4 linked regions of the Pelodiscus sinensis genome follow. The protein of the gene in region 1 purifies or fractionates together with the protein of each later gene. This does not show direct contact. Links are inferred from orthologs where the notes say so. Each region holds a gene or a part of one and is shown in the gene's direction. Other genes may lie near its edges. The genes, in order: PPP1CB, CCDC85C, PPP1R12A and YLPM1.

What was found.
Region 2: the proteins of PPP1CB (region 1) and CCDC85C purify together in Homo sapiens (affinity purification with mass spectrometry; 3 studies listed by BioGRID and IntAct, with this or other methods). This does not show direct contact. The link is inferred for Pelodiscus sinensis from reciprocal best matches to the Homo sapiens genes PPP1CB and CCDC85C.
Region 3: the proteins of PPP1CB (region 1) and PPP1R12A purify together in Homo sapiens (affinity purification with mass spectrometry; 6 studies listed by BioGRID and IntAct, with this or other methods). This does not show direct contact. The link is inferred for Pelodiscus sinensis from reciprocal best matches to the Homo sapiens genes PPP1CB and PPP1R12A.
Region 4: the proteins of PPP1CB (region 1) and YLPM1 purify together in Homo sapiens (affinity purification with mass spectrometry; 3 studies listed by BioGRID and IntAct, with this or other methods). This does not show direct contact. The link is inferred for Pelodiscus sinensis from reciprocal best matches to the Homo sapiens genes PPP1CB and YLPM1.

The regions. Positions count from the first base shown.
Region 1 is NC_134713.1:160,760,397-160,767,426, reverse strand, and holds the start of PPP1CB (serine/threonine-protein phosphatase PP1-beta catalytic subunit), read left to right. Parts: upstream 1-4,028; 5' UTR 4,029-4,282; coding exon 4,283-4,334; intron 4,335-4,639; exon of another isoform or gene 4,640-4,662; coding exon of another isoform or gene 4,663-4,663; intron 4,664-7,030. UniProt on the Homo sapiens protein: Protein phosphatase that associates with over 200 regulatory proteins to form highly specific holoenzymes which dephosphorylate hundreds of biological targets.
Region 2 is NC_134714.1:24,767,903-24,774,786, forward strand, and holds the start of CCDC85C (coiled-coil domain-containing protein 85C), read left to right. Parts: upstream 1-3,867; 5' UTR 3,868-4,574; coding exon 4,575-5,283; intron 5,284-6,884. UniProt on the Homo sapiens protein: May play a role in cell-cell adhesion and epithelium development through its interaction with proteins of the beta-catenin family. May play an important role in cortical development, especially in the maintenance of radial glia.
Region 3 is NC_134711.1:70,892,925-70,900,292, reverse strand, and holds the start of PPP1R12A (protein phosphatase 1 regulatory subunit 12A), read left to right. Parts: upstream 1-4,360; 5' UTR 4,361-4,491; coding exon 4,492-4,728; intron 4,729-7,368. UniProt on the Homo sapiens protein: Key regulator of protein phosphatase 1C (PPP1C). Mediates binding to myosin. As part of the PPP1C complex, involved in dephosphorylation of PLK1. Capable of inhibiting HIF1AN-dependent suppression of HIF1A activity.
Region 4 is NC_134714.1:44,324,567-44,331,875, reverse strand, and holds the start of YLPM1 (YLP motif-containing protein 1), read left to right. Parts: upstream 1-4,303; 5' UTR 4,304-4,503; coding exon 4,504-5,502; intron 5,503-7,309. UniProt on the Homo sapiens protein: Plays a role in the reduction of telomerase activity during differentiation of embryonic stem cells by binding to the core promoter of TERT and controlling its down-regulation.

The DNA.
Region 1 (7,030 bases):
TGAAAGCAAAATACATGGTATGTGCAGCAGGAATGGCAGTGCGAATGTTCAGACTTCGGCTGGGAGCCATATTCTGAAACACAGTGAGGGCTTCAGGGCCCAGGACTCATCACGAGCCTGGATGTGATTTGCTGTGTAGACATACCCTGAGCCTCTGATGAGACTGTAGAATCAGTCTCTCAGGCCCATTCACTCTGGCTGTGTCTACATTGGCATCCCTTTCTGGAAAAGGGATGCTAATGAGACACTTCGGAATTGCAAATCCGCGGGGGATTTAAATATCCCCCGCGGCATTTGCATTTACATGGCTGCCGCTTTTTTCCGGCTTGGGGTTTTTGCCGGAGAAAAGCGCCAGTGTAGACGCGATTCTCCGGAAAATACCGTATATATTCGAGTATAAGCCGAGTTTTTCAGCACAGTTTTTGTGCTGAAAAATGCCCCCCTCAGCTTATACTCGAGTCAGCATCTCGAGAACTGAGGCGGGCGGGCTCAGCGCGTCTCTGCCGCTGGCCGGGGCTAGCCGGGTCTAGCCCCGGAAGTCGGGGTGAAAGCTGCTCCGGTGCCCCTGGTCTGCTGGAGACCGTCTCCAGCAGACATGGGGCACCGGGCGGGTTCCCGCGCTTCTGAGGCTTTGCCAGAGCAAAGCCTCAGAGGCGCGGGACCCCCCGTGGCTGCGGCTTCAGTCCGGGAGCATGTGGTCTGCTGGGGACGGTCCCCAGCAGACCACAGGCACCCAGATTGAAGCGGCAGCAGCGGCGGTTCCTCTGGCAAAGCCTCAGAGGCGCGGGGAACCGCCGCTGCTGCCGCTTCAATCTGGGTGCCTGTGGTCTGCTGGGGACCGTCCCCAGCAGACCACAGGCTCCCGGACTGAAGCCGCAGCCACGGGGGGTCCCGCGCCTCTGAGGCTTTGCTCTGGCAAAGCCTCAGAAGCGCGGGAACCCGCCCGGTGCCCCTGGTCTGCTGGAGACGGTCTCCAGCAGACCAGGGGCACCGGAGCAGCTTTCGCCCCAACTTCCGGGGCTAGACCCGGTATCTATCTTCATTTTTTACATTTACCAGTAGCTGCCTCATTTCCTACCCTAGGCTTATACTCGAGTCAATACTTTTTCCCAGTTTTTTGGGGTAAAATTAGGTGCCTCGGCTTTTATTCGGGTCGACTTATACTCGAGTATATACGGTAAGCCCTTTTCCGGAAGATCCCTTATTCCTACTTTCAATAGGAATAAGGGATCTTCCGGAAAAGGGCTTATTTTCCGGAGAATCGCGTCTACACTGGCGCTTTTCTCCGGCAAAAACCCCGAGCTGGAAAAAAGCGGCAGCCATGTAAATGCAAATGCCGCGGGGGATATTTAAATCCCCCGCGGATTTGCAATTCCGAAGTGTCTCATTAGCATCCCTTTTCCGGAAAGGGATGCCATTGTAGACACAGCCCCTAAGTATTTAACCAAAGTGGAACAGATTTAATAGGACAGATGGCGGGAGCTCCATATCAAAATATCCCATGGTGCAGTGATTAAAGCACTTTCCTGAAAGGTGGGAGAACCCTGTTCAAATGTTTTGTCCCCATCAGACAAAGGGAGGAATATGAACCTGGATCTCTGACCTCCCAAGTAAGTGTTCTACTCATCAGGCTAATAGTTGAAATAGAGATAATACTACTACCTCCTCTTCCAGCCTGATTCTGAATAGGCACTGATCCAGCATGCCTACTGGACTGGGCCACATCACAGTGATTCTGGAACAGTTTTTATAGTGAAGATGCTGAAGGCAGGAACCATGTATCTGAGTTATTATACAATAGCATTACACAATTCCATCCTGTTATACAACATTCTTTCACTGTATAACATCATCATGCCACAGTAAAATGTTGTGATGATTTTCAGGTGAGTTCAATAATATGGACCTGGTCCACTGTAGCTGGGTGATGCTTTAAAATTCAGGATGGGTAGGTAGCATATGTACTATGTTGGGCAGTTCTGAAAGTCAGTCCTCTTTCTAGCTGGACAAAACAAATTTCCACGTGTCATTTTAGCTCTTCTCTATTTATGGAAAAGACTGAAAAATAAGGGAATTTATATATGCATATAAACTTTTGGCAGATGAGTTGAAATTACATTTTTGGTGGCTGTCTTCAACTGGGACTATAAAGTCAAATTTTGAGTCCTTTTATGGTTTCTTTTTTTCTTTCAGTATATCCAGTGAAACTTTATCATTGCCCTGCACTTTTTGAAAGAGCTCTTTCTTACATTAGTTGTTGGGTTCCCTAATATATATATTTGCACATATTCATAGCATCACTCAAGGACTTTTAAAGCTGTGTTCATACTAAATGCAGGACAATGTAGCACTTTAAAGACTAACAAGATGGTTTATTAGATGATGAGCTTTCGTGGGCCAGACCCACTTCCTCAGATCAAATAGTGGAAGAAAGTAGTCACAACCATATATACCAAAGGATACAATTTAAAAAAATGAACAAATATGAAAAGGACAAATCACATTGCAGAACAGAAGGGGGATGCGGGGGGGTGGGAAGGGGGAGAAAGGAAGGTAAGTGTCTGTGAATTGCTGATATTAAAGGTAGGGAGAGTGGGATGTTTGTGAGTTAATGGTATTACAGGTGATAATTGGGGAAACTGTCTTGGTAATGGGTGAGAAAGTTCAAAGTCTTGTTAAGTCCTTGTTGGCAAGTGTCGAATTTTAACATGAATGACAGTTCAGAGGATTCCCTTTCAAGTGCAGATGTAAAAGGTCTTTGTAGCAGAATGCAGGTGGCTAAGTCATTTAGAGAGTGTCCTTTCTGGTTAAAGTGGCAAGAAACTGTTTTCTCTTTGTGATCTTGTCTGATATCTGTTTTGTGGGCATTAATCCTTTGGCGAAGTGTCTGAGATGTTTGTCCAATGTACATAGCAGACGGACACTTTCGGCACATGATAGCATAGATTATATTTCTGGATGCGCAGGAATATGTGTTCTTGATCTTATAACTCACTTGGTTAGGTCCAATAATGGTTTCAGCAGAATGAATATGTGGACAAAGCTGGCAACGGGGTTTGTTGCAAGGGAAGGTACCAGGGTTGGTATTAGTGTGGTATGTCCTGTGGTGGTTGGTAAGAATCATCTTGAGGTTAGGTGGTTACTGTTCATACTAGTTTTTCCTTGATTGGTATATGAACATGAGTATTTGAAAATCATGTAAAATGACATGGTCTGTTATAGACCTCGACAGTTCCTAGAGCCAAAAATCCAAATCTTCATCTATATTTAGGTATCTAAGTGGCCTGATTTTTCTAGAATAGCTGCAGTTTGCACAGCAATAGCTATGTTTTATGCTTTACAGTTTTACATATTGGCCCTATTCCTGCATATTTTAACAGCTGCTTTCAAAGCATTTTATGTTCATTCAGATAGCCACCTAATGGCAAAACCGCATACTTTAAAATGGTCAATAAGTAATGCTGAAAAATATGTCCGGGATGAGAAAAACATAAGTGTTTTTTTTCTGAGAGTTGCATTAGTTGCTGAGCGCAACTTGGTCTTTCAATGCGGGCAGCTTGTTTAACTATTGTGATTTTTGACAGCAACGAACGTGAGACGTGATCAGCTCCCAAGAGTGGCTCACGTTAGCAGTGGGACGGGGGGCTCTGGTTAGCCTCCCCAGGAGTCAGGCGGGAGGGTGTGTGAGTCCAGCTGGAGGGCTCCAGCTGTGAACGCTTGGCTGGGGGATGTCTGGCAGGTTTCCACCTGCGCGCGGGGACGTGCTTCTCCGACACCCTTTTGCACTCAGGCTGGACCGTCTCTCCTGCTCCCACCTGACACTAGCTCGGCCGCGCTTGCAGCACTGCTAGGCCCAATGGGTTACTGGGGGCGGCGAAAGGAAGATCATCTGAAGCGCATGCGCCCCTCCAGGAGGGCTTGAAGTGCAGCAAGAACACCCCTTGCGCCTGCGCCGTCTGTAACATTGGCCCTAGAGGAGTCCCTCACGCATGCGCCCTTGCTAAAGTTGCGAAGCGAAGCGGTCGCGGCAAGAAACCAGGTGGCGGCGCATGCGTCGTGGTTTGCTGGCGGTCCGGTCTCTGAGGCGGGGAGGAGGTGCGGGGGTTGGTCTCTCCCCCCCATTTAACGGAGCGGGGCCGAGCGAGGCGCTTTCGGGTGCCCGCGCGGGAGGAGCAGAGCAGAGAGCGCGGCGGGATTCCTGGGGCGAGCCGCCGCCCCTCGACCGTGAAGCGCTCTCCACCCCGCCTTCTCCCCGCCCGGGACTGAGTCCGGTGGCCACAAAATGGCGGATGGGGAGCTGAATGTGGATAGTCTCATCACCCGGCTGCTGGAAGGTGAGCGAGCCCCCCCCGGCACGCGCACACCGGGGAGGGTGTTTAGGGGTCTCTCCCCCTCCCCCGTGCACGCGCACACACACGGGGTGCGGGGCTAGTGAAGAGCAAGGGGCGAGGCGGGATCCCGCGCTAGCACACAAGGGTGGGTAGGGGGCGAGGCGGGATCCTTCCCTTCACTCACACTCACTCACTCACTCCCCCCTCCCACTCCCCCTGCCCCTCCCACTCCCCCTCCCGGCGCCTAAGCAGTAAGTTGGGCCCAGTTTGCCCGGTGTGGGGAGAGCGCGCGGCAGCGAAGGAAGGTCTGGGAGGCGATCGCTCCCGCGCTAGTAGGTGCTCTAAGCTCTGTCGCGGATGGGGGGGGGGAGACGTACGTGCGTGCTACATTGCTGCTGCTGAGAGAGTGGGGAGAAGTAGGAGTTGTTTTGAGTGCACTGAGCCCTCGGTGCGCTGTTAAACTAGAGGAGACATCAAAGGCTAATGCGTTTAAGCCCCATATTCAGAAGGCGGCTGGGCGTGCCTGAGCGCGCGTGCGCGCCCGCATTAGGCGGGGGGCTGTGTAAAGTGAGTTCCTGCCCCATATCAGTGCTGCATGTGTTTAAAGCCCAGGGTCGGGACAGCTTCCCCAAGTGATGGGTGTGCTAGAAAAGCCTAGCTAGTGAGTGGTCTCCCTCCTTCCTATCAGACCGGTAGCTGTTTTTCATGGTTTTAAAAATAGACATTTTTGGTGTGTGTATGGAGATGCAGGAAGGTTTTTGTCTCCTGCAGTTCTTCTGCCTAGCTATGGGGCTATTTCTAATGTTGGTTATAGAGGCGGAGAAGAATGAGTGAGGGGGTTAATATGCGAAACAGCTGACTGTTTTCCAAGGAGTAGGATGCTATACTACTATCCTTATAAATCCATTTGATGATGATCATGGACAGGGATGATCTTGTCTTATTTTCTTTTTGATGACCCCCAACAAATATCTGGTGAGGGGAAAAAACATGTCTGTAGTTTTAAAAATGTATGTAACTTCTGGATTTGAAAGGCTACCAATGAGACTTACCATATAGATTTTGCTTAGGAGTGCGAACTGTTGGCTTCTTGGTGGTATCTTATTTAACTACTTGATAACCTAACATGACACACAGGTTTGTGAACATCATTTTGTAGTCATTCCTTCATCTTGCTAAAAGTGAAATGGTGCTTCACTAGAATGTCATTGAATATAAAATAAGCAACTCTTAATGAAATGATAAATCTTACACTTTGTATTCTTTGTTAGTATGTCTGTATTTAAAGTATCCAGTGTAGTGAGAGAACTTGCAAGTACCTGTATTTATCGGTCAGTGTAGATAGATAATTCAGCATTAGGTTAGAGTTCATTTCTGAGTGACTTGAAGCTTGAAACATTGCTAGCAAGTTTAAACACGACACTTTTACCAATGAATTTTGTCTTGTTTTTTATTATTGTTACAGATAGTCACAAATGGGACTAGTTATCATTCACTTTTTACTATAAGCTCAATTTTTAGGGGGGGGGGGTGCCTGTAAAATAATTTGGCTCAAATCTTTGTCTGGAGCAGCACTTTTTACTATGTTTTAATAAGATTAAATCTATCTACTATATATCTGAGAGAGTTGTCTGTTCAAGAACTCCTCCTAAATGGTAAGAGTTAGGACTACCAAATTTGGTATACAGCTTCTTCCTCTTATCATAACTCAAAGCAACGTAAGGGTTTGGATGTGCCTAGACTGGGAGTGCTTCTCATAAAACAGTGCAGAAAAGAGGCAGAGTTACCAGATAAGTGAAAGGGGCTGGCTGCCTCTAGCCTCCTACTCCCCAGGTGCCCTTTAGGTAGGATGGGGAGGTGAATCTCCCCCCTCAATTCATATGGGGACATTGCTGGCTGTTGCTCTTTATTAAGAAGTGAGGGGAAAGTGCATAGTTTATGCATTCCTCACTTTGTCTGGGGAGTACAGGGGACAGATGAACCTGAATCTGCTCCAGCTGGTAGACATGCAACCTCCCCTGGCTGTGCCCACTGGAGCTGCATGAGGTGCTTCTTGTCTGGCCCCAAGCTGCTGCCACCCTGAGAGGGGGATGGAGTAGTCCAGGCCAGCCTGCATACTGAACTCCTCATCCACAGCCCTACCCCAGAGCAATGATTTAAATGCAGTATGTTTGTTTTTCATTCCGTTTTACAAAAGACAAATACTGAGTTATAGACCCAAGCAAGAGTTATTTTTTAAAGTTGCTATTAAAAGGGCAGGCCTAGCCTCCAACATATATCTTAGTGTTTGTTTGCTAAGACAATAACTTGTGTAACTTTTCTGATGTGCATATCCATATTAAAATAGTTGATAAAATAATGTTTTGAGGGTGTAGCTGAAAGAGTCTGTATCTGCTCCAAAAAAAAAAAGGAGTCCTATGGCACCTCAGATCACTTCCACCTTGTTGGTTACTTAGATTCACAGTTGAGACTGTTTGGGAAATTGGTGCTTAAAGATCTTTTCACAATATTAAAATGTGTGATAAAGGCAAATTTTAGACTTAACAGGTCAAATTTGTGCAAGTCTGTGTACAACTTTTTTAAACTTTGTAAATCAAAATCTTAGAGATTTTTAAACTTTTTGTTTAACTTGAGTGTAAAAAAATTAAGGAAAATCTGTGTCTTGACAAACAGATATTTCTTCACTTACCTCCCACTGA
Region 2 (6,884 bases), on another chromosome or scaffold:
TAGAATGACTTTTCATTCACAACTCGCGGCTGGTCCAGCAGCCAAATGAAACAAACCAAATGTTTGGTGTGTTGTTTATGAACTCTTATCTTCCAATGGAAATTGACCTAGCAGAATCATAATTCTATCTGAACCACATATGGGAACTGGCTTTGTTAGCTGGCTGTAGAAAGCACAAGCCCTTCAAAAAATATCCCAGGATGTTTATTGTTTGTTGGGATAAAAGCAATAAACTTATTTGAATACCTTAATAGTTACTGTTGATAATAATACCTTACACTGATGTAGTCACTTCCCTCCAAAAACCTCTCAGAGCATTGCAGACATGCCTCACAACATCCATCAGAGCCACTCTAAACATGGGTAAGCAGAGGCAGAGAGAGATTGTGACATGCCCAACATGATTAAGAATCAGTGACAAAACTGGGAACAGAGGCAGGAGCACTCTTAGCTCTCAATACTAACTAGATAACACCCTCCCTCATCATCTTCCCAAGCTGACAATACTTTTGTCTATTTAAAAAGCACTGCAGTACTCATATTTAGATCAGTGAGAGCCCTCCACACCAAATACAGGTCATTCATGTCTATTTGCTGCTACTGGATGTCTGTATCCTTATATACTAAGCATTAAACAATGATCTATTTTCTCAGCCTATGCTAATATATATGAATACTTCCCCACACAGAGTTCTTTTGTCCAGTAAGATAATTCTTTGTAAAGCCAACTATAGAGCAGATTCATCCAGTTTCCTCTGGAAGAAACAATCCAGAAAAAAACAGCTTCTCTGGGAAACAAGGTCAACTCTGACGGCACAAAGTTAATTTCTGTGCTGCAAATCAAGGGCAGCCCTGGTAACATGCTGCCCGGTCTAGCTGCATCCATTTGATCTTGCACCCCATTGCACAATCATCACTGCCTTCTCCTCCCAGTGATGTTGTGGAATGACATCTATGAACAACTTCCTCTGCCTTCACCCTTCCTTCCTTCTTTCCCTCCCAGCAAATTAAAGGTAATTCTGCAAAAGAAGATGGATCACTCCTGAAACCACGAAGCTGAGCTAGCTTGGGACGAGCCCTTTTTATTTCCTATAAGAGAGGATGTAAATAAAGGGCTTGCCCCAGGAAATGCTTGGATGCTGGAGATATGATGAAACCCAGTGATGTAACAAAACAAATCACTGTATAGGTTGGACCTCCCTTGTCCGGCAGCTCCTGTGGAATGAGGATTAGGAAGCCTAATCTGAACTAGCTAGTCCGTGCCGCATGTAGCCGCGCAGCACGGAGTCCGAACTAGCCGGCATTTAAAAATGGCGCCGGCCGGCTTCACGCAAATGAAGCCCGGGAAATTCAAATCCCGGGCTTCATTTGCAAGTGCGGATGACTACATTACCCCCGCTAGTTCGAACTAGCGGGGTAGTGTAGACATACCCTTACTTATTATCACATAACCTTCATGAGAGATCCTCCAACCATTACCAAAATGCCTAGCACTTGGTTGGCACTATGCGAATATAAAACGAGAGGCCAACAACCTTTGGTGTAATCTGCTGGCAAACCATAGCCACTGGGAGCTGCAGGGGGATGTGCCTGTGGATGGTGAATGTAAACAAAATGTCTTGTGGCCCGCCAGTGGATTACTCTAATCATGGGCTGCTTGCCAAATGTTGCCAACCGCTGCCAATCCACTTCCTAGATTTATTCAGCAGCCCTTCAATCAACATAGTCCAATGATAAATTCTGCAGCTCCCTATTCAGGCCCTTTACTCCTGCATTCCTGGGGTTTACATCTCTCCTACTGTCCACCCTTTCTCTAGGCACATGGAGTCAACCTTCTCCCTACAGCAAGCCTGCGCCCTGTGCTGATCACTGTACTCAATGCATGTACCTAGTTCATGTGTTGTTTCTCATTCTCATTTTCTTTTCGGAAAAGCAAGTGCATTTTTTCTGCATCTCTGTAAACTTCGTTTTATGAGGAAAAAGGGATATTCTGAAAAATGGGTTTTTCCCGACATTTGGCCCCGTGTAGATGGGCTAAAAGTCTGAAAAGCCTCTGTCGGAAGAAAAGCGGTTTACAATTTACGTATCTTTTTCCGACTTTTCTTTGTCGTGTAGACACAGCCTATGAGTGGCCTGTGTGGCAGAGACTCAGACAACATCCTGCATTGTGGGGGTTATACATGAATTTGCTCTGCATGTAGCTGAGCACTCCACAGGCTGTGGATGGAGAAAGGATCCCTGTGAAGGTGAATGGCTATAAAAGGGGAAGGGATATCAGGACTGTTCCTACTGGTGCTGGTGCCCTATGCAGCCCAGCACCAGTACCTTCCCCCTGGGGGGAAGTGGCTGCTCTGTATGGGGGGTGAGAGGGAGGGCCAAAGCTGTGTGGGAAAGAGGTTGCCAACTCTCCCAGAGTGGATGCCATTTACCTGAGCAATCTAGAGCATGGCTGGGAGGACTCCGCAGTAGTAGCAGGTGGCCACACCGCCAGCCACAGAGAAGTGGCGCTTTTAAAGGGAAAGTGCTGCTTCTCTCAGTCACCTGCTTGTGCAAAAAGCCTGCAGTATAGACATAGCCTATGAGAGGAGGCCTACAGAAAGTAGAATAGCCTCAGCTATCCGTGGGCAGGAGTTGAGGAGGTGCTGCTTTCCTCTTGCTCTCTCTGGTTATTTATCTCTCTAGGCAGATCACAGTATTAGGTGCAGTGTATGTCTCAGAGCAATGGTGGGCAATCTGCGGCCCATACAGCCCATCAGGGTTCTACATGTGGCCCACGAGACATTTTGTTTACCTTTCCTCAGGTGTATGGTTGTCAGATTTTGCTGGTTTCCAGACAGGTAGTTTTTTCCTTACAATCTTGCTGCCCATTGAACTGGAGGGCCACTCATGCAGCCCACTCGCTAACCTAGGTTGCTCATTGCTGTCTCAGAGCCCTACAGTTTGATAGAAAGCCACCTGAGGACCTCAGCTGTCATGGTGCCAGTTCAGACTGACCAGTGGAAAGCCACTGGTTGTTTTTGCAGCTGCTGTGACACTGTCTGCTTGTGCCCACAGGGTCAGCACCAGGCTTCCTGCTCACCATGGTTACTGAGGCAACACAACACAAGGAATTATCCCCAGAAGTGGGGAAATCGCTGCTGCTGGAATAAAGGGCGCCTCCCCTCCCGACAGCCCCCACCTGCCTTCCTGAGATGGCGGACGGGCAGAGGTGCTCACACCACACCCTTGGCCAATGGGTCCTGGTCGAACAGAAACCAATCCATACTCATTCACAGCGCATCGTGGAGCCAGGCAGCAAACCCGATGCGCGCACAAACCCCATTCACCAGCAGGGCTGCCGAGAGAGCAAGAGACGGTGGCAGAAATGCAAAAAGGCAGCCGCGACTCCGCTTCCCCTGTACTCCCGAGAGCAGCCTGCGCCTTTCCGACACAGGCTGGCGGCGACACATGGCTGGGTCAGAGTGAGAGAAACGCTGGCGGAGGCAGGTCGCGGGGCACGCCAGCTCCCAGGGCTCTGTGTGTGTAGACGCGCGGTCCCTTTAAGAGAAGCGCTGCCCTACCTTGCCCATTGTACCTGCTTTTTGAAAGCGCTTTGCAGCCCTCCCATTGGCTGGGGGCGCCACCACTTCTCCCCAGTAACTTGACCCGAGGCGCAAAGCAAATGCAACCTGAAAAGACTGGAGCATGGCAAGGTCCCTGCCCCCAGCCCCTGACACCCAATCAGGCTTCGGGGGGAGGTCTCTGCCTCTGTAATCCGCCTCTCCTGGAGCAAAACTGTCTGTGCTCGGCAGCAGCCGGGCGAGAAGGTGGGGGAAGCCTCTTGCTCAGTGGAACAGGGCTGGAAAGAGCTCCCCCCTCCTTGTCCCCCCCCCGCAGAAGTAGGTGGGACCCGTTCAAGCCCCGCCGCGGAGCTCCTGCTTTCTGATGACTGTGCCATTAGAGGAATGCTCCCTCGCTCCCCACCTCTTGTCATGAAATTTACGTGCAATTTCCAAAGGCATTGACATCATCCGGAGAGCAGCCTCGGAATTAACGCAAAACAAACAACCGGAGGGACGGGTTTTTATTGCACATATTGGCTTTTTTTAAAAAAATAGCTACCTTGCTGCGGCTCGGCAGCTGTGGGCAGGGATCGGATCAGGCAAGCTAGGTGTGCATCGGAGGAATGAATGGTGCCTGTATTATTTTATTTGTACTGTTTATTGGAAATCGAAGGGTTTGGGATTTTTGTAGAGGAACAAGTGAAATGACTAAATGCAAGACGACTGACCGTTGCTGATTAGCCTCCGCTTTAGTGTTGGGTTCACCTAGGGGTAAGTTGATTGTTTCATTTTGGAGACTTAATTAAAAAAATTCGAAAGCCTTGAATGTGATCCTCCCTGACCTGTTGGTTTTTGATATGGGGGGCAAATCATTCAAGGTGAATATTCTATTTTTTCCTTGTCCCATCGTCTCTGAAGAACTGTAATTCCCCCTCTGACCAACATGTTACAGTAAATTTTAGTTTAAGAAAACACCGTTTATTATTATTATTTTATTATTTATTTAAAAAGAAACACTATATAGACTCAAATATGGCAAAAAATTCTCTGGAAGGGTCTAAGGAAGACCTGAGCAAAATTTCAGAAGAGGAGATGATGAGGTGGAGCAAGGAAGAGCTGGTGAAAAGACTGAGGAAAGTAGAAAATGAAAAAATGAACTTAATGGTGGAACATGGTAATTTAATGAAGGATGTAAACAGGAGGCTGCAGGTTCATCTGCACGAGATCAGGGGGCTGAAGGAGGTGAATCAGAAATTACAGGACGATAATCACGAATTGAGAGAGCTGTGCTGCTTCTTGGATGATGACCGGCAGAAAGGCAAAAAGCTGTCCAGGGAATGGCAAAGGTTTGGGAGGCACACGGCTAGTGTGATGTGGAAAGAAGTCGGGATGTATCAACAGAAGCTGAAGGAGCTAGAGGCAAAGCAGGAATCCCTCATGAGGGAGAACATGGAGCTGAAGGAGATAGTCCTCATGCTAGATGAAGAGAGAAATGGAGCTGGCTCTAGGAGCTCTATAGACAGCCAGGCCAGTTTGACCAATTTGAATGGGAGCTCTGGCACCAGGGATGTGGGAGATGGAAGCAGCACGTCCAGCACTGGCAGTGCAGGGAGCCCAGATCATCATCATCATCACCTCCACCATCACAAACCTGTCGAAAATAAGGCTGGAGCAATAAGGAGGTCAATGGATGATTTGTCTGCACCTCTTCACCACAGGAGTATCCCCAATGGTCTCAATGGTAAGTCTGTTCCCTCTCTTGTACTCTACTTCTGTTTGAGGAAGCTCTGTCTAGTATTCACATGACTTAGACAGGTGATATGAGTTCTGTGGCTCTGACACCGATTTCCTGTCTGAACTTGGGTAAGTTGCTTAAACTACTTTGTGCTTCCATTTCGTCACCTGTGCAATGGTGATGCTTGTCTCAAAGGGGTTTTATGAAGTTTAGTGCATTGACCTTTGGACACTGCATGCAGCTGGAAGAGTCTATGGGAATGGAATGCATGTAATCATTTATTATGAGGAGTAGTAATAGTATGATAAGAATCAGGCAATCTTCTTGAAAATATGAAATACACCCTATGTGTCTGTCTATGGCTTTATTACGTCTCTTAATCTGAGAACTAGTTCAAAGTGGAGCTGTTCTGATGTAGTTACACTATTGTTAAATGCTCATCAGATGCATTATTAATGGTGAGGGCTGTGGGATGATGTTTTATTTTTTATTTTTAAGTCTGGCAGGCAAATTGACCGTGTTTTCTGAATTAATTAAACATTGATTTTTTCCCTTTTAATGTTTTGTTTTATCTTTGCTGCTTGCCTGATAGTTTGATGAGCTTGATAAAAAGCATAGTTGGGATTTTGGATACAGTCTTCATCTGCCAGATAATGGATAAAAGCATCACCTGTTAACTCCGTGAGGCTTTCACTGGCAGACTGTGTGAAGTTGAGCAATGCCTACTAGCTAAAGAGAGTGTTCAATGTAGGGGAACTAGCTTAACTCTTTGCTCCCCCCTTTCATTTTCTGAAACAGTCAGAAGAGTTGTTTGCGGGTCAGCGATCATACTATAACTGAAACCATCCTTATACTTTCTACAAATATGTGATGACAATTGGAGAAATCCCCATATGAAATGACAGGCCTCATCCTATTACTCTTATGCAAGCACAGTTCCCAGTAGAGTCTATACTAAGATGGCTTTAAAATAATATCCCCAAAATATCCCTAAAATCCAGACTTGTGGGTTAAAGTATGTCAAATTTGATCGGAAGAATTTCTAAAGGTTGCAATTCAGATAAGCAGATCACAACAGGACACAAACTGGGCTCATGCACAACTGCTAGAGTTTCAGCTTCTTCAAGCCACTTTGCACCACAATATTCAAATCAGACGGGAATGTTCTTTGGTAAATGGAGTATGAACTACAGCATTCTCCTTCAGTGACCTTAGAAACTGATCTCTCTGTACCACCAGCTTGTAACATCAAGGACAGAGTGAAAAGTCACAGAGTGATTTGGTTTTGATACTGTCAGCTTGTGCTATTCCAAATGTGAGCATGTTACACTTACAAAGGGATAGCCGTAGGATAGATCGTCCCCTCCAATGGGAGAACTGCACGATGGGGCAGATAGCAACTCTGCCACGACACCCTAAGTAACTGTATCTTGCGACTGAAGAGGTTTTAGGAGTTGAGGAAAGAGCAGAGGGCATGGGAAGGTCCTGGTGTTCTATGGGCAAGCCTCAGTGACATAGAGAATGTGAGTGGGACTTCAGGATTGGACTGATGAGTGTTGAATGCCTCAAGTGTATTATCCTAACTTGCCGTGGTCTGAATTTCCTTG
Region 3 (7,368 bases), on another chromosome or scaffold:
GGGGGCTGGCTGGGGGAGATTGGGGGGAGCGGCCTACGGGAAGCAGAGCTGGTTGGAGGGGGGAGGGTGGAGCGGGGCTGGTCGGGGGAGCTTAGGAGGAGGATGGGAGAACTGGCCACTGGAAGTAGCACTGGCAGGGGTGCAGAGGGCTGGCCAGGGAAGATCAGGAGGAAGAACCGGACGGTGGGAAGTAGAGCTAGTGGGGGGGGTTGGATACAGCGGGGCGGGCCGGGGGAGATCGGGAGAGGAAGGGAGAACTGGCCGCCGGAAGCAGGGCCGGTGGGTGCAGCAGGGTTGGCCAGGGAAGATCGGGAGGAGAAGTAGGGGAGAACCAACTGGCCAGCCAGGAGCAGGGGCGGGGAGAGGGGGGAAGAGCGTATCATTTGCCATTTTGTTGCCCAAGCAATGAGTTTGGTGAGAGCTTTTTGAAGCTCTTCACAGTCTGCTTTGGTCTTAGCTATCTTGAGCAGTTTAGTATCATCAGCAAATTTTGCCACCTCACTGTCTACCCCTTTCTTCAGATCATTTATTAATAGGTTGATTTGGATTGCTTCCAGTACAGATCGTTGGGGAACATCATTCTGAAAATTTACCATTTATTCCTGTCCTTTGTTTCCTATCTTTTAACCAGTTATCAATCCATGAGAGGACTTATATATGGCCCTCCCAAATTCATGGTCTATTTTGGTCAATTTCAATGCCATAGGATTTTGATAAATGTAAAAGTCATGATTTCAGCTACTTAAATCTGAAATTTCATGGTGTTGTAATTTTAATGTTTTTAACCCAGAAAGGAGTTTTGTGTGTGTGTGTGTGGTAAGGAGGGGTCCAAGATTATTAGCGGGTGTGTTGCAATACTGTTACCCTTTATTTTGCACTGCTGCTGGCGGCAGTGCCGCCTTCAGAGCTGGACCCCACTGAAGAGTAGGGATGTACAATCCTGGTTAATCAGTTAACTGGTTAAACCAGGGGTGGGGAACCTTTTTTGGGTTGGGGGCTGTTGACCCACAGAAAAATCAGTCAGGGACCACACACAAGTGAGAAGCAAAGTCAGAAGCCTCCTGACTGAGAAGCAAAGACACTCCCCACATTCCCCTTGAACAGCAGAGCCTAAGGGGGCCCTAGGCTAGTAGATTTTGTGTGCTCCAGCCCTGTGGGTGGCAGGGAAGCTGGAGCACCACCGTGGGCTCCCCAATGCTGAACCTCGGGGACCAGATTCAGGCAAGCCAAGGGCCACATCCAGCACCTGGGCCTGAGGTTCCCCTTCCCCACCACCATTAAACATCAGTTAACTAAGTGGGATCCAGACAGGGGACCACTCCAGCCTAGCTGGAGCAGTCCCACTCCCACAGTAGGGCTGCTGCTGCCTCCCCGCTCCCACCAGAGCAGCGCTTACCTGTGGTGGGCTGGCCTCTCTGCAGAGAGAGGCTGCTCTGGACACCAGCACAGCCCCTGCCTACAGGGTGCTCAGGACACCAGGCAGGGGCTGCTCCCAAAAAGCGTAGTACCTGTCTGCAGTGGGCTCTCTGAGTTACTCATGCCACAACCAGTTAAGCTTTCACATCCCTATTCGAGAGTGACAGCTCCTCACTGGGAGCCCAGCTCTGAAAGATGAGCTACCAACGGTACCATGCAGAAGGAAGAATGGCAAGATACGGTATTACTACCCTTGCTGCTGTTGGCTGGGCATTGCCTTCAGAGGGCAGCACCTGGCCAATAGGTGCTTCTCTCTGCATGTCCAGCTCTGAAGGCAGCATAGAATGGTGGAAATACCACAAGCCCCCTAAAATAGCCTTGCAGGGTAAGCCCCCTAGAACGCCAGGCACAAGGTCTGAGGCAACGCCCCCACCAGCTCCACCTTGCACCTGCTCTGCTTCCTGCTGCTGTGGAGAACCCAACTGTAGCAGGTTGGGAGAGACCAGCACAGTGGAGCAGGCTACCATGCCACTCTGGCCCCTCCATCTGCACAGTGGGCATGTGTGTGGGGGCGACCACTGCTGCTGTCCTGAACCAAGCTCTGTAATGCTCCAGGTCCCTCCTGTCTATAGAATGGTTGGGATGGCTACAGGGGTTTGGGGTTGGCAGGCTCCCAAAAGCACGTAACCTTGCAACCCTCCTGCTGCAACTCTCTTTTGGTCATGACCTCCTATTTGAGAAGCAGTGGTCTCCCCCATGAAACTTGTATGGTAGAGGTAAACACTAGGGCTACATCTACATTGGCATGATCTTGTGCAAATACTCTTTGACGCAAAAGCATCTGTGCCAGCTTAGACGCTCTCTTGCGCAAGAACGCTCCGATGGCCATTTTAGCCATCAGGCTTTCTTGCGCAAGAAATTCATGTTGCCTGTCTACACTGGCCTCTTGCGCAAGAAAAGTTGCGCAAGACGGCTTATTCCTGAGCGAAAGCATCATAGTTCTTGTGCAAGAAGCACTGACTTAATACATTAGAACGTCAGTGTTCTTGAGCCAGAACTCGCAGCCAATGTAAACAGGCAGCAAGTTTTTGCGCAAAAGCACATGCTTTTGCGCAAAATCATGCCAATGTAGACAGAGCCTAGGGCTATATCTACATTCAAGGCTTCTTGCGCAAGAACATCTTGCGCAAGGGTTCTTGTGCAAGAAGTCTTGCACAAGAAAACGTCCACACTGCCATGTGCGAGCTGTGCTTTTGCGCAAGAGCGCCCATGGCAGCGTGGACGCTCTCTTGCACAAGAAAGCTCTCGTGGCCATTTAGCCATAGGGCTTTCTTGCGCAAGAAATCCCTGCAGAGTGTCCACACCGCCCTCTTGCGCAAGAGGCCCTCTCTTACTATGCCATACTGTAAATTTCCTTGGGCAAGAGCAGGTGGCCCGTGTGGACACTCTGCGGATTCTTGTGCAAGAATTGCCATACTTGCGCAAGAAGCCGTGAGTGTAGATACAGCCATACACACAAAGAAATTTCATGGATGGAGACCACATTTAATGGTCAGTGATGTGTTTTTCATGGCTGTGTATTCAGTAGGGTCCTATTGATATGACAGAGAAGAGAATAAAACCTATTGGGCTGATGGCACTTCACTACTAATGTTTTGTATGACGAAGCTTATGTCCAAATAAATGTTAGTCTTTATTTAAGGTGCCACAGGACTCCTCATTTTTTTGGATATAGGCTAACACAGCTACCCCTCTGATACTTGTCTTAATGTAAATTCTTCTTGCCTAATATTACTTGGACACATCAATCACCAGAAAATAAGTTTGATCAGACTGAATAGCAGCTGGAAAGAAAAGGAGCCTAATAAGGAAAGGGGTGAATAACCTTGCAGTATTTGAAGTGTTTGAGGTTTTGTGAATGGCTCACACTATAGTTTCTTATAAATGCAAATTCAAACTCCTCTCTAAGCCCATATATTCCCCCAAGGGAGAATTACTTGAGGACAGCATAGCTAAAGAATAGAGCCCACTTTATGGAGGGCACAGGGTGAAGAACCCAAGGCGAGGCTGCTGTAAATAACGCAAGCACGCTGCTTTGCACGCTTTGCTCTCCCAACTTGGGATGTTACATTTTGACTAATTAACTAATCAAATAGGTGATGGGATTTTCATTGACTATTTGATTAGTCCATAAGGATTAGTGGGGCCTTCCTTATGGACCCCCAGCAGGGAGTCCCTCTGACCCCAGGCTTCATGCCAGCACTTCCGCTTTGAAATGTGCAAGTTCCCACTAGGGCTCTTGTACATTTCAAAGCTGGAACTCAGCTGCTGAACCCTTGCCCCTCCCATGGAGCTGGAGGGAACCTGCTTTTAAGCCAGCCCCCAGCCCACCCCCCCTCAGCACTCCCTCCTCTTCCCCCCTTGCTGCCTCTTTGTGACAGCAGCAGCAAAGGGGGAGCGACTAGTCGATGGACTAGCCGATGAGCTTTCGCTTATATCCAATAATCTACTACCCCAACCCCGACTCCCTACCTTCCCCGAGCGCTCGCGCACGTTGGCCCTGCGCGCCGGGCTCCCCTCACCCTACTCCCGCCTGGGAAGCCCGAGCCCTTCCCCCTGAACTGCTCACCCCGCCCGCGCGCCTCTCTCAACTGCCTTCGGCTACCGCCTACCACAAGGCCCCGCCCAGCAGCTTCCTCCTTAGGCGCGCGCTCTGCGTCACCCACGGTGCTCCCCTTCAGGGTCCCTGTGCCCCTCCGAATGTCACCACCCTCTGGCTACCGCCGCTGTTCTATCGCGGACCGGCCTCTTCCGCCCCCTCCCCTGCGCTCAGTCAGAGCCTCGCCTATAGCCCCTCTGATCTGACACACCAGCCATCCAAGTCCCGCCCCTTCAGGAATCTCGCGATATTATGCTAAAGTGCCGGGCGCCGCGCCCCCTCTCCGGCTCTTTCCCTCTGGGCGGGTGAGCAAGTGCGGCGGTGGCGGCGGCCGGGTCGGCCGCGGTGTTCTGTGGGATAGTGGTGGATAGAGGCTCTCCTCGGTGCGGAGCGCTAGGGCCGGGCAGGAGCGGGGCATGAAGATGGCGGACGCCAAGCAGAAGCGGAACGAGCAGCTGAAGCGCTGGATCGGCTCCGAGACCGACCTGGAGCCGCCCGTGGTCAAGCGCAAAAAGACCAAGGTGAAGTTCGATGACGGCGCCGTCTTCCTGGCTGCCTGCTCCAGCGGGGACACGGACGAGGTGCTGCGGCTGCTGGAGCGGGGCGCCGACATCAACTACGCCAATGTGGACGGGCTCACCGCCTTGCACCAGGTCGGCCTCAGCGAGGGGGAGCCGGGGCTGGGCCTGGCCGCGCGGCACCGGGGCAGGGAGCGGCTCTGGCGGGCTGGGCGGGGGTGGGAGCGGGCTCGGTGCTTGTGGTCCAGCACGGAGCGGAGGAAGGGGAAAGGTGCTTGGCTCCAGTTCTCCAGCGAGGGGTCTCCCCCAGGCTGCCGGCCCGGACAGATGCATCGGCCTTGTGGATGCTGCTCGTTCCTGCTAAACCCTGGGATCGGCCCCTCTCTGGATGCTGGAGACTGAGCCCTTTCCTCTGCCCGGCTGGGGGGATTCGGGGTCCTTCTTGTTTCTTTCCCCCAGAGATAGTGCTGGTGGGACCCCCTGTCCGTGGCGAGCATTGGGGGTGTCCCTGGTAAAGCGGGGTTCTCCGAGGCCCTATCCGCTGTGAGTCCGGGCAGGAGAAATGCTGCTCGGGAGCGGGGAAGGTGACAGGAAGACCCTGGAAAGGGGAGATGTTAGCAGGTGGGGGTGATGGGGTGAGAAACGCGGTCACTCCATGTTTGCTGTTAACATCGCCAACATTTCTGTCGCTCCGATCCCTCCAATTTTTCTGCTGTTTAAAGGATGAAATCTGCTGATTATGAAGGCGGATCATTTCTCTCTGATTTCTAGGCGGGAATTAATGTTTTGTTGTTAATATAGTAACGTCTATCAATAAGAGACAGGCTTCTTTCTTTACTGGTGGTTTCTACCGCAGTGTGAAAGCCCCACTCTTAGGTTAGCAGTGTTTTTACAGTGTATATTTCCTGCGGTGGGAGGCTGTAAGAAGGGGCAGGTTTGTATATGTTTTTGAACTCACTTCGAACTTTCATTGAGGGTGGGGGAATGGAAAGTGGCCGTGAAATTTCTCAAAATGGATGCTTTGTACATGTTAAAGTTTTATAGCAATCTCATTGGAATCTCAAAATGTTAGCCAAATAAGGAAAGGCAGTGGTAATCCAGTGATAATGTGGGTTTGCCTGAATAGTTTTTGTTTCTTCAGCAAACCAAAAGCCATAGCAGCATATTAAATTCATTGAACATCAAAAAAGCAAGAATAATCTCTTTGATAGATGCAATTTTCAAAATAAAAAAATGAATCTCAGTAGTTTTGGAAAGATTTGGTAATTATGAGCTCTAGTTTGATCAGGTACAGATCTTTTCAAAATAATTCAATGAGGAAATTCAGAGCAGTGTTTGTTCTTTCTAAACAGAAGCTGGTGACTTTAGTGTGCAGTAAACTCCTTCATAATGAAATAAGTATGAGGAATGCCTCATTATTTATTGTAATAGAAAACAGTAAATGGATTGCTGAGACCTTTTATGCTTTTAACTGATTTTATACTTTTACTGTAATGCAATGTGTATCTAATAACTTTACTGTTTCCTGTACAAAAGTTGTCACCTGCCCTTTCACTAAATTAATAGTCTTGATAGAATTGGTATGCTTCCTACTGACAAAAAATAAAAACAAGAATGAACATGACCAGTTATGGGATAATCATTATGTTTGTGTTATGGTAACATGGTGATACACTCCTTAATTTCAGTGTATATTGTAATACTGTATATGGCAAATTTAATATACTGTAGCTTCATTTAATCAATCTGGAAATTCATAGTCTAAAGACGTACCTTACTTACAGACACCATACTTTCTGTGGTTAGATGTTAATATGTAAAAAGACTTTCAGGTACTTTTAATACTGAGAACAAAAGGACAAAGTCTTGGTTTTAATGAAGATTGGTAAAACAACAAAGTAAAGAATAAGCTTTCTCTGTTTTGACAAGTCTGAGAAGCCTTTTTAAAAACCAAATGAGAGGAGTTTTTGCCAACTTTATGGTACTGTAGTGCAACATTTTTACAACTAATGTCATCTGTACCTCCATGCTGTCAGATGTTTGCTCCACCTCAATGTGCAAGCTGACCGCAGAGCGGAAGATCAAGTTAGCTGCAGATTTTTTTTCTTAGAGTTATGCTAAAGTAGTCATTACTCTAGTGTCACTGCTATGATAGGACTAAAAATGTTTTTTTGAGGCGTTAATCAACAAAAGTTGAAAAGCAAATTGGGAAATTTCACTGTGAAATGATTGTTTTATTAAGGTAGCTTAGTAAATGATTGTATGTTTACCCCAGTCCTCTCAGGAAATGTATTGTTTGTAGTGCCCCTTTAATCAACATAGTCTCTAGTTTACCCACACTTCTCTATCATACACTTGTGACAAAATAGAAAATGCTGGACACCTACTCAAAAATGAGAATTGCTGTGATAAGTAGGAAACATCTCAAAACTTTAACACTTTGCTACTGTTGTGATTTCAGTAATGTTGAAAGCCCTATTGTACCTAGGATTTCCTATCACTTCCATAATTTTTAAGCACTAGATCAGTCAATTTAGATCTGACTATCCTTGTGAAATAATTACCTGTAGGATGTGTAAAAGGTAGTGATTTATGCTCATTTTTGGATCTCTTTCTTGTCCCCCATAGTCATCTATTTCTTTTTCACATTAGCTGTGTTCTCCTGTCTTGAGTGATTCACAAATTATGTTTTAGTGCACTAAAGCAGGAGCATAAATGACTTTTCTTTTGGTAATATTTTCACTTAGATATATATACGGCAGTATAGGAAAAAGG
Region 4 (7,309 bases), on another chromosome or scaffold:
GAGCCCCTGCCACTCTACATTGCTGCCTCTGTATCAGAGGCAGCAGTGTGGGGTCAGCAGTGTGGGGTGGAAGTAGCTTCTGTCCATGGGGGTTTCGAGCTCCCTGGGGATAGAAGCTGCTTTGGGAGGAGGTGGGGAGGAGGCTGCCATGAAGCAGCCTCTGTCCGCGGCAGCCCAGGCTCACCGTGAACAGAGGCTGCTCCGATAGCAGCCCCTGTCCTCGGAGAGCTCAGACTCCCCATGGACAGGGGCTGCTGCTGAGGACCAGTTTCTGTCTGCGGTGGCCCAAGCTCGCCACAGACCTTCTGCGGCAGGAGCTGCAGCACAGAGGGTAAAGGGGGCAGGCAGGAGCTGGTGCATGTGTGATGCTGGCTTTTAAGCCAGCTCCACCCGCATCACTTCCCACAAGCTGCTCTTCCCTTCCCCAGTGCTATTGCCTCTATCAGAGGCAGCAGCGGGGAGGGGGATGTCAAGCAGGAACTAATGTGCATGGGGAGGCAGCATTTAAGCCAGCTCTTCTCACATGCCATCTCTGTGGACCTGCCTGCCCCTCCTTGCTGCCTCCAATAGATCCAAGACTGAACACCTGTGCAGCACTCAATCTTCCTTCCAACTTTCACATGTCTAATTTTCATAGAATCATAGAACTGGAAGAGACCTCAGAAGGTCATCAAGTCCAGCCCTATGCTCTAGGTAGGACCAATTCCAACTAAATCAACCCGGCGAGGGCTTTGTCAAGCCGAGACTTAAAACACCTCTAGGGATGGAGACTCCACTACTTCCCTAGGTAACCCATTCCAGTGCTTCACCACCCTCCTAGTGAAATAGTTTTTCCTAATATCCAACCTGGACCTCTCCCACCACAACTTGAGACCATTGCTCCTTGTTCTGCCATCTGTCACTACTGAGAACAGCCTCTCTCCATCCTCTTTGGAACCTCCCTTCAGGAAGTTGAAGGCTGCTATCAAATCCCCCCTCACTCTTCGCTTCTGCAGACTAAACAGACCCAAGTCCCTCAGCCTCTCCTCATAAGTCATATGCTCCAGCCCCCTAATCATTTTGGTTGCCCTCCGCTGGACCCTCTCCAATGCGTCCACATCCTTTTTGTAGTGGGGGCCCCAGAACTGGACACAATACTCCAGATGTAGCCTTACCAAAGCCGAATAAAGGAGAATAATGACATCTCTGGATCTGCTGGCAATGCTCCTCTTAATGCAACCTAATATGCCATTAGCCTTCTTGGCTACAAGGGCACACTGTTGACTCATATCTAGCTTCTCATCCACTGTAAGCCCCAGGTCCTTTTCTGCAGAACTACTACTTAACCGGTTGGTCCCCAGCTTGTAACTATGCTTGGGATTCTTCCGTCCCAAGTGCAGGACTCTACACTTGTCCTTGTTGAACCTCATCAGATTTCTTGTGGCCCAATCCTCCAATTTGTCTAAGTCATTCTGGACCCTATCTCTGCCCTTAAGCCTATCTACCTCTGCCCCCAGCTTAGTGTCATCTGCAAACTTGCTGAGGGTGCAATCCATCCCCTCATCCGGGTCATTAATAAAGATATTGAACAAAACCGGTCCTAGAACCGAACCTTGGGGCACTCCACTAGAAACCGACCGCCATCCTGTCAAAACTAGTTTGATTACATTCTCCTGCACACTCCAACACCAAACAGCACTGACAAAAGTACATTATAGCAACATGTCTTCAAGACTTTCTTACATTTCTGCCTTAGGCCAGGCTCAGCAATGGGAGCCTGTCTACACTGGCAAATTACTGCACTGAAACTTGCTGTGCTCAGGGGGGTGATTTTTCATAACCCTGAGCAAGAAAGTTTCAGTGCGGTAATTTGTCAGTGTAGATAAGCCCGTAGGTGAGCCTGTAAAACAGGAATCTGCAAGACAGGTTTTTTAAAAGAAAATGCAGGGATTTCAGAAGCCCTTTAAACTAAAGTTACATTCAGAAAAGAGGGAGATTTGAGAGGTGTAAGTGAAAAGAAGGGGCCAAAATCGAGGGAAGGGATAACAATGGTATAGAGAAATTTATCTGTGGTACTTTTATGGCCCCATCACCATAGTATCTGAATCTTGCACACTAACCTATTTCTCCACACAACCCCTCAGTAAGGTAATGCAGAAATGTTATTTTATACCCATTGATCAGGTAATATACTGAAGCACTGAAAGACTAAAGGCCAGATTTTGAAAGGTATTTAGGCACCTCATGGGATTTTCAAAAGCATCTAGAAATTAGGTGCTTTGAAAACTCCACTAAATGCCTAGCTGCATCTTTGGGTGCCTAAAAATCTTGAAACTCTGTCCCCAAAGTACTAACTAGCCTAAGGTCATACAGGATGTCTCTGGGGAAAGTAGACTCCCAAATCTCTCAGAGTAGCTTCTGATCCACTGAACCACCTATGATGGACCATGTTGGGTCTGGGCACCGCTGAGGGCATCCGCTCAGAGTGAATTGCTCAAAACCAGGGCTGCTTACAGCCCTAGATTGAAGACCTTTCCCAAAGAGGCCACAAACCAGTCACATTGAGTGTTTCAGCTGCCAATCTATCCAGCAGGAAGCCTCATGAGCAAAACCCCTCAGACACCCCAGTTCTCCCTGTGCTACAATCAGTCCCAGGTCTTACACACAGGTGAGGGTTTATAGAACCCTATCTCACCTACCCCAAACGGCTTCTCCCAGTCCCAAAGAACCAGCCACAGATCCCTGGTCGATTTACTCTTTAGATCTTACCCACTGGGCCAATCCTTTAGCATCTAAAGGTTTATTAACAAAAAAAAGAAAAGGTTGTTAAGGAGTCTACATTACATGTTCCAATCACCAAGTTCTTGATGCAGGCTCGTAGCAGAGATGTTACAAACTGTTATCTTAGAAGTCTCTGGTGTACATCCTTGGCTACGTCTACACTGGCCCCTTTTCCGGAAGGGGCATGTTAATTTCAACTATCGTAGTAGGGAAATCCGTGGGGGATTTAAATATCCCCCGCGGCATTTAAATAAAAATGTCCACCGCTTTTTTCCGGCTTTTAGAAAAGCCGGAAAAGAGCGTCTACACTGGCCCCGATCCTCCGGAAAAAGCGCCCTTTTCCGGAGGCTCTTATTCCTACTTTGAAGCCAGGTGCATGTTAATTGCACAGAACATTGAGAGAGCCTTGCACTCCCTCTGCATCTAATCAAAGTGCTGCTACAGTTCAATTGGCACACCCTGCAAATTCTAGGTACAGTTAGCAAAACTACTCCATCCCGGGAGACTGACTTGTTTACGACAATCATGTGGCCCACTCACTAACATAGTTTGCCCCTTGCTGCCCTAGTAGGATGTTTCCAAAAGTTAATATGATCTATTCCAATCTTGACCTGCAAAAGAGTGATAGAAAGAAATCAATTTTTCTACAATTGTTTCAATTGCTGTATTCAAGAGTTAGCAACAAAATAGGAATATACATTAAAATTTTAGACCTAACCAGTTTAAGTGACTTGACACAAAAATGACAGAACATACTAGTATTAGAGCTGAGTAGATCTAATATTTATTTTTCTTTCTTTATAAAGAAATTAGATACAGGGCTTCTGTCAGATAATTTCTAAGTTACTATCAAAATCTAGAGTGTTCATGTGTCTGTCTAGCCCATGGAATCCGTTAAACTTGCCCCTCTCCCGACTCCCTAAAAATCTCTAACGGCGATCCTGGCATCACCCGAGTTATAATTTAGGTTAATTTTCAGCGAATCCGAGTCCTCAGGCAATGGCGTTGGGGTTGCTAAACTGAAGCGAAGAGCCTGTCGCTGCTAAACAAACACAGTACTTGTAAACTGAATGCTGTCTCCATAGTAACGGAGCGAAGGGTTCAAGGCTTTGCCTATGGTCGTCAGCTCCCCTTGCCAGAGGTGGCCCTTGCCGGTCATTATTTGCTAATCGCTAGGCCTGACAGAGCAGCTCGCAGACTTTGGGTAGCGAGCAGGAGGGGTTGGTACCAGAATTTCATCCCAGCTTGTGACTGAACTTGTGCGTAGCGAGAACGTGGAGATCTTGGTCGCAATAGGACCCAGAAGCCGAAGGCCTCCAGTATGTTCCTTCCGGCCCACCGCAAAAACAAGATGGAGGCCGATAGCCTTTCTCTGAGCGGCGCTCTAGCTCCCCTTTTCTCCCCTCTTTTGTCCAAGCCGACATGAGAGCAGGAGAGACCACGGTATCAGCGACGCTCTAGTTTCAGACAGTGCTCCTCTCTATGGCCCATGTTTTTCCGCAAGCGTCCGGCCAGTCTATAGCCCTAGATGTCCGGCGGGTGGCGCTCTAACTTCAGCGAGCCCCTCTCCATGGTCCAGGCTGCAGGCACTCTAGCTTTCTACATGCCACTCTTCTATCCTGGAGGTCCAAACGAGCCCCACTACGCAGGCGCCGTGTGTCGCACGCGCTGCTGTCGACGTTCGCCGCGGCCTGTGGAAGCTCCGCTCTCCGCTCGGACTGCCGCCTCAGACCCGGCCCCGCCATGTACCCGGCCTGGGGCATGTACGGGGCGGCGGGGCACTACCCGCCGCCCCCCACCTCGATACCGCCTCCGCCGCTGCCCGTGCCCCCTCCCGTGATGCCCCCCACCGTCCCGCCGCCCAACTACCCGCCCCCGGGGCCCGGCGTGGCCCCCGCGCCTGGCGCCTCGGGCTTCCTTAGCCTGCAAGAGCAGCACCTGGCTCAGCTGCAGCAACTGCAGCAAATGCACCAGAAGCAACTGCAGTCGGTGCTTCTGGGGGGTCCCCCGCCCGGGCCACCACCCCCGGGCCTGCCCCCTCCACCTCTCCCCGGCTCCTTCACCGACTGGCCGCCGCCAGTGCCACCCCCCGTCCGTAGCTACCAGAAGCAATTCAAGCACCGGGAGCCGCCCCCGCCACCCCCACCCCGGGACTCCCAAGTCTGCAAGCCCCCACTTCCCCGAGAGCATGAACCTCTCCAGCCGTCACAGCCCCAGAGCGACTGGGAGCACCTGCCTTCTTCTCCAGTGCCCATGGACATGGAGCTGTCTTCTCCACCACAGTCGCCCGCACCTGCTGACCAGGCCTATCCGACCCCTTCGCAGGCCTATATCCCTCCAGCCCACTCTGAACCCTATATCCCTCTGGCCCAGCCACCACCTTCCCAGTCCTCTCCGTCCCAGTCTTATTTGTCCCATTCTCAGCTTTCTCAGCCACCCCCGCCATCCTTTTTGGAGCCCCCTCCATCAGTCCCTCCGGTCTATTTCCCCCCTTCCCAATCCTATCTGACACATTCTCAGTCTTACTTGTCTCCTTCCCAATCGTCCACTTCCCAACCAGTGCAATCTAGTTTGACCCCATCCATTTCCAAGTCTAAAACTCACTTTACTGCATCCCAGTCGTCCTTACCTCCTGCCACTCCTGCCCAGCAAGAAACAGTGCAGAGTGCTGCCAAGGATACTGGTGATAATTCTGATCAGCACAGCACTCAACAACCAGACCCATCCACTATGACCCCTCAGGTAAGAGCTAAGTGCCCAACGTGAGCATTGCCGCAGAATGTGGCTGCAGATTGGAAAAAGATAGATGGGAACAGATAATTTATGGATATATTGTGAGTTGTAAAGATGCTCAACTAAAGATAGATAAAATAGAGATACCATAAATGAATTATGTTTAAATTAAACAAAATATTTGATTTCAGTTCACAAAAGCCAGGAACGATACAAATAAGATTAAAATTTCATAAAACTTCCACTGAATGTATGTTTTGTGTCCTGTAGGTGTTGTGGTTCAAGAGCCAGCAGATCCCAACCACAATGGGATGCATAAAGAATAAAATTTCAGCCTTGACTGAACCTTATCTGATTGGTGGATTTTTCAGAGTTTCAAAGTTGTGATCTTGCAAATTGTGTTGTGCAGATGAACTACATGGAACTCCACTGAATGAATACTTTGGGCATTCCATATTGATGCAGCAGTCTGCAGGCACATTGCAGGATTGTTTCCTAATTAGTTTAATTTTTTTCAGTTTACCAACAGAAAAGATATAACAGTACCACAGTTGTTGCTTGGCCACACCTGCGGTAGTTAAGGTTACGAAAGTACTTCTGTTAAAGGCCCTAGATGCCTTATTTGTACAGTTTTCAGAATTTGGCCTAAATGTGTTCCGGCTTGATCTTTTCCTAAAGGTGAACTTTTATGAAACACTTGAGGAAAGTCTTTTCAAAAGTTTATGAAGAATATATACTTTTTATTGTTAAAAACATTTATGTCTGTAGGTGGGCAGTCAGGCCCCAAATCTGTAAAAGTTCACATTTCTGAAGCAGTAGCCACTATAGCAAACTAGCCACATTCAATCGGCCAAATAGCCACATGTGGCTGGTGGCTAGCATGTTGGATACCATGGAGTTAAAGATTATTCACTTGCATAATTTTGAAAATGCACATCATAACGTGCCTGGAGCCTTAGATTGTATGTGCAGTTGATTAAGCTCTGTATGAGCCCAAGGGTCAGCCTGCACAGATCCAGTTGTAGATCAGGGGCTAAGTGCACTTCTTAAAAAAACTTGCTGACTTAGTTTTATAATTTAAAATTAACAAGGGGTTGGGTTTTTTTTTAATTTGACTCTTGTGTTCAGAGTTAAAGCCAAATTGGTGGGGAGGGGTGTTAATCTTTGTCTTTGAGGGATGTGAATGTTAAACCAGTTAACTAATAAGCCTCAGCCTCAATGGGTGAGGTTTACCAGAGATGGTTAACTGGTGAGAACTAGAGCAGCTCTCCTGCCATGCTGCTTCAGCCCAACAGAGAGCCTGCAGTGGACAGGGACTGCTCTGCCTGGACAGGCATCCCGACCAGAGCAGCTTCTGTCTGTGGCAGGCCTGGGTGCCCTGCAGGCAGGGACTGCTCCAGCTGGGATGCTGGAGCAGCTCTTGCTTGTGGGGTGCCCTAGTCAGTGCAGCCTCTGCCTGCGGCATGGCGGGGCTGCATCAGCCCAGTAGCGAGCAAGGGGGTCCACTCCAGTTGTGCTGGAGCCGTACTCCTCTTGTTCACCCCTTTCCCTTTAATCGGTTAACTGGTTAAACAATATATTTAATCGATCAACCAGTTAAATGGGATTTTGCATTCCTAGTTAAGTTACATGTGTAAATTAATTATTTTATTATTATTTAGTATTTATTAATCCTTGGGATCATTTTTAATTGGCATACATTTAAAGCATATATTTGCACTTGCATAGCTATTAAAAATTTGTACTTTCCTAACAGACATTAGTTAACCTCTTGTGTGGTGGTGTTCATTGAGTCTACGAACTGCAATTTTATAAT